Caenorhabditis elegans: one gene and its partner. The protein of the gene in region 1 interacts with the protein of each later gene in a pairwise test. Each region holds a gene or a part of one and is shown on either strand. Other genes may lie near its edges.

Region 1 (7,063 bases):
CCATATGTGGCGCCAGGGCGCATTCCCTTCCTAGCACTGCGTCTCTTCAATTGGTTCAATCTCTCATAGTAATGTCCGAGAGAGAAAGAGAATTTCGCAATAGTTAGGGAACCCCCTATGGTTTTTTAAATAAGAATTTTTGAATATTTGTTAATTGCGCACTTTAATAACGACAGAGAGAACAATGCGATGTTTTTTGGCTAAACAAAATTCTAGAGAATCAAAAACGGATTCAGCCTAATTTTTTTTGGATCTAAAACGTAATCTGACATTATAAAATTTTTTATTCGAGCGATCCGTAAATTTTTCAAAAAAATCTTGGTTGCACAGGAAGACAGACGGGTGTAATTGCTATTTTCAAGCGTTTTTCAATGTTTTTTCGTTTTTCAATATTTCATGTTTTTGCAAACAATTTAGCATGAAATATTCTCACAATTTCACGAGAATAAAATTGAATAATATTCTCATTCAAAAAATAAAACTGGTTACGATTCCTAATTCTCAGTTTGAATCTAAAATGCAACGTAGGATCAATACAATTACTCAAGAGGAAATTCTAATTCGACGATAACAATTTTTTTAATTTGAAATTTCCATCAAATCTGCGCCCTACCGCTCCCTCTGTTCTCGTAGTTTCCCGCCGCTGTCCGTCCTACCAGCAAAGATCGACAGCTCCTTTTCTCTTTTCCTCTCTAACTCTCTAATGTTAGCGACCTTTGCGACGGATCGGCTTGTGTGGTGTCGGCACAGTTTGTCCCCTGTCGTTTCATTATCTGCGCTTCTCCACTCTAGTGTGCTCTCTCTCTCTCTCTAGTTGATCCCTCAAATTATTGTAAATACTCTTTTTACAGCTCTCTCTAACTACTCTAGGTGTTCCTAAGTTTCATTCAATCTATCATATTTCCTATCTTTTTGTGTCTCTGATATCTTCAGGTATGTGTATGAGTGGAGGGAATAGAATAGTAGAGAAAACAGTAAGTACATACACACATAACAGGAAGGAAGGAAAAACAATTTCAACATTTGTTTCTTTCAAATTCTTTGTTATCAGAGTTCCAGTTTCGCCTAAATCCCTGAATTCCCTTGAAACTGGAGTAGCTTCTTTGGTTTTTTTCCCAAAATGACAGAAAACAGTCTCAATACACCTATTATAAATCTAAAAAAGTTTATAGAATTGTTCTAAATTTTTAATGATTTTTTCAGGTTTGCAGAAATAAAAAAATAATAATGGCTTAATTATTTTTGAATTCTCGCACAAATGGTCATTTTGTTTTTTTTTTCGTTTTCCGGCTGTTTATATTATTTTGGCTTTCTTGGCAAACGATGTTTTATATCAAACATGAAGGAAATTTCCTCCTAGGAAAAACTAAAATGAAAAAATGTCGAAACTAGCTGATTCATTTGCTCGGGAACTCAAAAATAAATCCACTTTTTTGTTGCAAAATTAAATAAAAAATCTTGAAAAATTTAGAAAAATTCTATAATTTTTCCAGTTTTTTGGTATATTGAGGTCTTTTAAGCAAAGAAAATCCTCCAAATACGATACAACGCCTTTAATTAATTGAAGTCACACTCCATTATTCATCGCTAACATTAAAAAAAAACAAAAAAAAACAGATGATGATGTCCTTCGTAGATATCTCGAACTTCTCTCTATCTCTAATTCTACCATCTGCTTTTGAATTTCGAAACAACATTTCCTTCTCTGAATTGCCTTTTTTTCAAAACTACATTTTTTAGGTTTAGAAAAAACAATTTTATTTCAGAATGTCAGAACTGAGGAAACTCGAACTTGAACGTAAAAAGCAGAAATTGGCAGAGCTGAAATCTCAGCGGAAACGTGAAGAAGATGCTCGAGTTCAAAATCTGCTCCGTTCCACAAATGAAAATGGAACAACACAGAATGGAACGTCTCGACAGACTCTTTCATCGAATGAGGTATATTATTATGTTCTATTATCCCGACTCGAAATTTTTAGAGTTTTTGCCTAGAAATACTGTACCCGGTCTCGACACGACAATTTTTTATTATTTTTCATAGTTTTTCGTTTAAAATAATTAAGTTTTCCATTTAAAAAATTGCGAGAAAACCAATGAAAATTTCTGAAAATCGGCAGCAAAGAGAGTTTTAAACTACAGTAATTTTTAAAGGCGCATACCTTTTTGAAATTAACAAAATTTTGTCGTGTAGAGGCCTGACACTGTATTTTTTCAAACATTTCAGAATTTCGCGTCAAGAAATTGAAAATTAAACTGTTACAAGTTTCACAATCATATTTCTACTTTTTAACTAAATTATTTTTTAGGTCGAGGATATTCTCCGTCAAGTAGGTATTTCAACTGAGCCAACAGTTCGGGAAGAATCTCCGGCACCACCTCCTGGTTCTCATTCTGATAATCATGTGGATCCATCAGCCAGCCATCCACGCATTTCAAATCTCCTTTCAGTCGACTTGGAATTTTCCAGTGTACAGACAGCGTGCACGGATAACAAAGATTCGGTAAGCTTTATTTTTTTCGAGGGAAAATATCGAGAATTAATTTTAAAAACTCGAATTCCTGCTTTTTTTAATGATTTTAGTATTAAAATTTTCCAGGCAATTTACTCGAAAGGAACCCAGACTGACGATGAGCGAATTTCAGTCGGCGAATTTTCGTTAGGAAGCCAAGAATTCGATTATGATGATGATATGATTATGCCAATGGATCACGGTCAGTTCAGAGGTTTGTGCATGGTTTTTTTTTCCTGAATTTCAGTTTTACTCGAACACCATAATTTTAAAATTCATGGTTTCAGGTCGTGCTCACTCACACGATCAAGATTCCCCACTTCCTTACAACGAAGAAATTGCAAAACTTCTGGGACAGACAAAGCAGGGAGACAAGGGACTGACACGACAGGAGACTGAAGAGAAAAAGACACAAACTGTTCAGATTGTTCCACCACTTAGTGATGAAGAGAAATATCGTTTGACTCTTGATCCTGAGTTTTTGGTGAGTTAAAAAATATGAGGTTGGCATTTTTGTGAAAAAATATGTTTAACTGCCCAAAAGTTAATTCAATTTTTAATTCATGACTGAAGCTTATGGTTTTGTTTCCAGGACTCTTTCAATCGCTCTTGCAAAGTAATCAGTCGTGCTCTCAACGAGGAAATTGACATTTGTATTAACTACACTAAAGATCCATATGAGAAAGCTATTGCATCTGATGATCTACTTCATTTGGCACAAGTATATCAAGATGAGACATGGACTGCTAAACGATTAGTTACAGGAATGGCATTTTCTGAGCATTATCCTGATTTGTTAGCTGTTTCTTATGGGGTAATTAACATTTAAAACTATATACATGATTATTAATTTCCTTTCTTTTTCAGCCATGTGACATTCCAAATGAGCCACCCGGTGTTATTGTCGTTTGGAATACAAAGTCGAAGCGAATGACTGCTGAATTCATTGTCTATTGTCAATCTGAAATTCAATCCGTCGCTTTTGCTCGTTTCCATGCTCATTTGCTTCTCGCTGGATGTGAATCTGGACAGATTTGTGTATGGGATAATCGATTGACAAGTCGAAAGTTGCCAATAAATAGAGTGAGTTTTTTTTGTATTTTAAACTTTAAAAAACCTGAGAAAAAATCAAAGTTTCCTGTTGCAAAAAAGCGTTGCACAGAAAATGAGGCGGCGCGTAATTTCGCAAACCTGCTGCACGATTTTTTCTCTTTTTTCCCCCGTTTCAACTGCTCTTTTCAATAAAGTCTCGATTTTACTTTTTAGTTTAATTTTTAAATGAAAATATTATCATATACATAAATTCTCGTAAGTTATAAAAATATTTCATGTTTTAAAACCTATTTAGCATGAAATATCGTCAAAATCGTATGAGAATTAAATTGGACAACATTTTCATGCCAAAAAAACAAGTAAAATCGAAACTTAATTGAAAAATAAAAAAGGCAGTAGAAAACGAGCGAAGAATAAGGAGAAAAACCGTGCCGCATTGTTGCGAAATTACGCCCCGCCTCTATTTCTGTGCGACGCTGTTTTTTTTTCAAAATTTGCACATCAATCCTTCAATTACAACAGTAATGTTACTGTTACGTATCTTGAAAATTTTGAAGTTTTTTTTTTCAAAAAAGTTCTACGAAAATTGATTAAATTATTTTAATTTCTATCCGATGTTAACTCATTTTTCCAGAGTCCTCTAACAACTCAAGCTCACACGTATACTGTATCATGTCTTGCTGTCGTTGGTACCAAAAATGCTCATAACTTTGTTTCATTAAGTCGAGACGGACGAATTTGCAGTTGGAATGTCGATAATTTGACACAACCTGTGGATGGAAAAGAACTGATGACAAAGGAAGGAAAAGCTGTATGGTTTTTATCGATATTAAATAATTTTGAAACAAAAAATTCGAATTTCCAGGCTTCCGCCACCAGAATGTCATTCCCAATCGGTGAAATGCAAACATTTGTCGTTGGAACAGATACTGGAGAGATTCTTGCTGCATCAAGGAATGGAGCTGATCCAGCTGTCATTAAAACTGACGTTTGTTACAAAGGTTGGGATTTAGGTCTCGAAGCGACCGATTTTTCTTGAATTATTTTCAAAAAATTTAAAAGTACATCAAATTTTCAAGAAAAGAGGAAAAAAAATGAAGAAAAAAAATTCCACCAAAACTAGGAGTTAGCAACAAGGGCGTACTGTATTTTTTTTCCAAAAATCGAAAAAATTTTGAGCAGTCAAAAATGTGAATTTTATCTTGATAAAAATTTTAAATAAATAATTTCAGGTCACAGTGGTACTCTGACGGGAATTGAATTTCATAGAGCTTCTGGTGTTGTCGACTTCTCACATCTTTTTATTTCTTCATCTCACGATTGGACAGTGAAGCTATGGAGCACAAAAGATGCAAATTTAAAATTCTCATTTGAATCACATCCTGATCTCGTTTTGGATGTTGCATGGTCACCAGTTCATCCAGCTGTGTTTGCATCTATTGATGCTGATGGAAATGTGAGAGATTTATTTTTATTTTGACTGAATTTATAGAAATCGATCAGTAAATTTTGCAAAAAACAGCGCCGAGCAGAATTGGATAACCTTTACATTCTGAAAACGAGTAAAATCGAGACTTTATTGAAAAAATCAACAAAAAAGCAGTGGAATACGGACGAAAAAAAGGAAAAAAACTGTGCCGCAGGATTGCGAAAATACGCTCCGCCTCTGTTCTTTTTGCAAAATTCATTTGATCGATCGTTTAATTTCAACAATATTATATTTTAACGTTTTCAGATTTTCGTGTGGAATTTGAATGAGGATGTTGAAGGACCAGTTGCAAGACTTCGCGCCGGAGCCGAAGGAGAATCTGTTTATATGAATCGACTGATTTGGTCACCTGATGGTAAGAAGCAATTTTTTTTAATAATGCAAAATCCTACAATGAAACTGAATGTATTGGACTAAAAATTTTAAAATCCGTATTTTTCAGGAAAACACGTGTTCGTTGGTGATGATGAGGGTCGAGTACATATGTATGATGTTCGGGAAAGTTTGTACGTGTTGAAGAGCGAAGAATGGAATCGATTTGCTAGGTAAGCAGCTACCCGTTCCTCTTTCTACATGAAAAATGTGCAATTTTCAGAGTTTTATCTGATATGAAGCAATCGAATGAGGAAGCGGAGAATTATAACATGTAGACGAATGCGCGGTTCTTTCCAATCTTAACTTTAATCAGATTTTCTATTTATCATATTTAAATCATAGGTACTTGTTTTTTAAATCCCTTACAAAGCATATTTTCCCACGCTTTCTTATTGAAACGTGGCAACTGGTGCCAACTCTTCTTGTGTGTGTAATTGTGTGCTCTAAAAACGTTGCTCCTCTTTCTTCTCGGTTCATTTAATTATTTGTTGCTTATAAATATCCCCGCTAAATTTTTTTGTGATTATCTGCTATTTACTCAATTTTTTCTCGTTTTTCATTTTCTCTGAAAAACTTTTTTTCCTGACAGCTCTTCTTCCACGTCGTTTTCAGTTATTCCCGTTATTTTCCTGAGCTTTTTCTCTCCCCGATCACACTGATTCGACTTTTTTGCTCTAATTTATTAATTGATATTTATCAATTGTTTCTTTTTAAATGCTTCATACAGTCCCCCACCACAGCTCCCAATTGTTCTCTAAAAATGGTTTATTTGATTTCTTCTTTTCTTATCAAGTTTCGATGATAGCGATCAATGCGAATGAACAGTTTTATGAAAAAATCACCTTTTTTTTGTAATTTTGTTTCCATCAAAAAGCAGTAGTGAGAGCTCAATACAGTTTTGAATATTCATTTCTCAAAAGTGTTTCGCGGTAATCATACAAAATATATAATAATGTGAAATTGGGACAACGAGGGAATAGTTTTTAATTGAAAATGATCGCAGAAAGAAGAATCGATTGTTTTTTGTTTTGATTGACAAAAGAATGCAAATGCAGTGGGATTTTGATTGGGAGAGAAGGAGAGAAGAAAACATTCAGCGTATATTCAAAAAAAAACAGTGCCAGATTTCGATAGAAAATTGATTAAGAGAGAAGCTTGAAGGCGACGGATTCGTTGTGATACTCATAGATCATAGGTTGGAGCCGCAACTCAATTAAACTTCGAGAGCATCGCATATACACTATGGAATGTTTCTGGTGGACGCATCACGATTGGTGGACGAAGATGTTCTCCTTTGAAAGCATCGTAACGAACAGCAGCGAACTGAAAAATATAATAATAATGTGAAAACTATATGATTTATTATAAGGAGGCAGAAAAATGCCCACTTATAAATCGAAACGCGCTCCATAGCCAACTGAAAACGCTTCGCCTCCGAATAATGGGTCTCGTCAGGTATTTGTGGGCAAAACCGTAAATTCAAACAGTTTCAATTATTTCGCCAATTTCAAGCATGTTTTCCTTTGTTTTTGATGATTTTTACGTCGGAATGATTTTAAAGCATAGCCAAAAAAGAGAAAAAATGTTTGAAGTTGGCGAAACTAATTGAAAACGTTTGAATTTATCGTTTTGCCAC
Region 2 (3,319 bases), 660 kb from region 1:
TAGAACTTACAAGAAGGGATGCCATCTTGAACTTTTCCGCCAATTTGACATCTTGAATTGAAGATCGTTGGCAGTGACAACGTGTTTTGATGAGAAATTGCTCATACTTTGTGATAACCGACTTCATTTCCCATTTTGAGGCTAGATCCAGAACTTGTTCAACTGAAAATTCAAATGATTGTAGTTTTGTGGTTAATTGTAAACTTACCATTTTCCCGTTCCATTTTGAAAGGAGGATGAAGAAAGTTCATTAGTTTTTTCATTGAAACAAAGGATTCAAATGGCATTATAATTTCAGCTAACTTGTTGTTTTCCAGTTTTTGCTTAAGAATCGGGGAATTCAAAGCAAGTATCTAAAAGTAACTTATGTAACTGAAACACAACTCAATTTAACTTACTCCAGAATTGGCATATATCATTTTCTTTCCATCTTCAGATCGAATCAGGACATCCAACCACTTGCTCTTCTTTTCAAAATCAATGAAATCTTCGATTGCAATTCCAAAAGATGACTTTCGAGTAATTTTCAGTTTCACCTGATTGTATCTTCGATCAATAGATTTAATCATGATCGTATTAACATTTGGAGAGAACTCAATTTCGTTTTTGATGTTGATAACCTTCCCTTCCCCAGTAAACTGAAGGTCCATCTGAGCCAAGAATTTCCAACGAAACAGACTTTCCTTCTCACATCTTATTTCAAATTTTCCGTTAGCTGTGTTCAGAACCGTCCAGAATCCAGTCAAGTGGAGTCCAAGAATGTTACAAATGGGAATTTCAACTTCTTCCCCGACTTTTGAGTCTTCTGGAAGTTTCAAAAGCTTGCTCGCTGTCGGAATTTTCATCGTAATATCGTTCATTTTGATTTCTGAAAAATTTCCAGGGAAAACTATAACCCTTTAAAAGTTGAATTTACATGTGATACTTTTGATCCAAATCACTTTGTTTGTTGCCAGAAATATTGTGAAATACATTTTGTTAGAGTGAATTTCTTAAAACCACGATTTAAATTTTTCTTCCACGTATTTCATATGAATTTCACTTTTTTTCCAGTTCACGTTCTTTCACAAAATTACAGTTCAAATTTTCAAAAATCTTCGAATTCTTTCAACACACTTTCTCCGCAATCCATCAACATTCCATTTGTTTCCCTTTCTATTAATTTCCAAATTTCCGCCTGCTTTTCAAATTTCCATCGGAAATTCAATCAAAAAGACAATTGATACAAATCTCAAAGACCTAAAGCCCCGACTTCCATTTTGAATGAGGTCAATTTCTTTGATTGACAGAATTTTTTAAAATAAAAAGGGCTGAAGTGAGAGAATGAAAAATCGTTCAAATTTGGGTTAAGAAGGTCTCCTCTGTCCACTTTCATTTTCGAATCTATTCATCTCATTTGCATTTGTTTTCTTCCTCATTCGTACCGGTCTCCGGTATATTGTCTTGTGTTTTTTGATTCATTTCATGACTCATTTCAACATATTTTTTGTGAGAACCGTCGTTTCTGTCTATTCCTTAAGACACCCACAAAATAAACAAATAAACCATTTGGTTTCGTTCTTTTTTCCAACTTTTCTCTGTTCCTGTCCACTATTAACTTTCGAAGTCTCGACTTTCGTGTAGTCGATTCTGTCCGCAAAAGGAGTTAATCAAAGTTCCGCAAATAAATTTTCAGATTAAAATGTTTCCATTATTCTCTCTCTTTTTATCTCACTTTACCTCTAACTCTAAGTTTAGCTCGTTTTGTTTCTGTGACTCATTTCTTTTCTCTCCTCCTCCCACTCAGCTGTTTCATTCAAAATTTCCGAAAAAAGTTCAGTGATAAGTGATAGGCGTGCATGTCTTAACCATCATATAAATACTTCTATCTATTGACATTTCTTCGGTACTTTCTTCGAATTTGATTTTATTTTAGTTCCTCTGCAAAACCATCGTAATAATCATGCCAAACTGTCCAAATTGCCAAAAACCTGTATACTTCGGTAAGTTGTTTTTTCAAGTTATATGTCATGATAACTGTTTAATTGTTTCAGCTGAACGAGTTTCCTCTCTAGGAAAAGATTGGCACAGACCATGCTTGAAATGTGCAAATAAAGCATGCGGGAAAACATTAAGTGCTGGAAGTCATTCAGAGGTATGTTTTTAAAAGTTAACTTATAGTTTTTGGTTATGGTAGGAGTACTACCCAAAGTTCTTTATCGTTTTTTTCAATTCAATCTATTTTGATAAACAAAAAAAAAAGAGTTGAATTAGATTTTTAAAATTTTTGCTGTACTATTGAGTTGTGGGTTTTGAAAAAGTACTTGCCGACTTTCAATTTTCAGTTTTCAATCAACTTCAAAAAAAAGTTTCTAAAAAATTAAATAATTTTCAGCACGAGGGTAAACCTTATTGCAATCGTTGTTATGGCGCTCTTTTCGGACCAAAAGGATACGGTCACGGAGGAACTGAATCACACACTTTCCTTCAAGGAACTACTGGAAATTAAAATTCATAATTTCGTTTGCCTGTTTTCCAAAGATGCTTCAAGCTCACATTCATCGCCTACTACGACTTCATAATGTCAATTATCTGGCCTAGCAAACTTTTCAAAATAAAATATTTTTACTGCAAAATCAAAATTTTGAAACAATGATGAAAGAATGAATGAAGACGACATGTAAAGAGTCATTGTTGACTAGGTTTTTGGGTGAGAGAGAAGATGACATTTTTAATAAAAAAAGAATAATATCGGACACCCGATAGTTTCTCCATACGATATTTACAAAAAAATGAACTGTAGAAAGTGGTGAGCAAGAATTTTTAAGTTACAAAAAAAAGAGTTTTCAAATTATTTTTAAAGTTTACAAAAAGAGAAGGAAAAGAAAGATGGCAAAACTGAAAAAAAAGTTAATAAATATTTGGATCATCATACCAATGACGGCGTTGATCTGTTAGACCAGGAGTGTATGAGTAACGATTGAGAGCGCTGGACGTATCACGTGAGGTTGAACCTGAAAATCTATCAATTAAAATAATAGGGTTTCTGTGAAATAAAGCACCTGGATATTTTCTATATTGGGCAACATATGGCTCGCGAGTTGTGGAAACCGGATTTGAAGATGTGTAGTTTCTGAAATTAATGGAATCATAAGTAGATTGTTAAGGTAACTTTTGATCACAGTTTAATGAAGTAGTACAGTGCGTCCAACTTCTATAGCACCCCCCTCCAATTGGGCGGTTTGGAGCTTTTGAAAATATTTTTAGGAAAAGTGTTAGTGCAGTTCGATAGCTTAGAAACTTGACTTGGGCACAGTTTCTTCTATTCTTCGACAGAAGT

What was found.
Region 2: the proteins of dyci-1 (region 1) and valv-1 interact in a two-hybrid assay, tested with the Caenorhabditis elegans proteins (one large-scale study listed by BioGRID).

Annotation. Positions count from the first base shown.
Region 1 is NC_003282.8:6,779,044-6,786,106, reverse strand, and holds dyci-1 (WD_REPEATS_REGION domain-containing protein), read left to right. Parts: upstream 1-1,766; 5' UTR 1,767-1,767; coding exon 1,768-1,938; intron 1,939-2,306; coding exon 2,307-2,501; intron 2,502-2,597; coding exon 2,598-2,724; intron 2,725-2,797; coding exon 2,798-2,994; intron 2,995-3,102; coding exon 3,103-3,324; intron 3,325-3,377; coding exon 3,378-3,593; intron 3,594-4,197; coding exon 4,198-4,374; intron 4,375-4,428; coding exon 4,429-4,564; intron 4,565-4,795; coding exon 4,796-5,019; intron 5,020-5,298; coding exon 5,299-5,407; intron 5,408-5,494; coding exon 5,495-5,597; intron 5,598-5,647; coding exon 5,648-5,702; 3' UTR 5,703-6,262; downstream 6,263-7,063. Other genes in the region: anat-1 (N-acetyltransferase domain-containing protein), read right to left, coding at 6,637-6,750.
Region 2 is NC_003282.8:7,443,931-7,447,249, reverse strand, and holds valv-1 (Cysteine-rich protein 1), read left to right. Parts: upstream 1-1,913; 5' UTR 1,914-1,942; coding exon 1,943-1,982; intron 1,983-2,033; coding exon 2,034-2,134; intron 2,135-2,374; coding exon 2,375-2,488; 3' UTR 2,489-2,611; downstream 2,612-3,319. Other genes in the region: B0496.1 (BTB domain-containing protein), read right to left, coding at 11-162, 209-353, 399-860; unc-82 (Protein kinase domain-containing protein), read right to left, coding at 2,890-2,993, 3,042-3,112.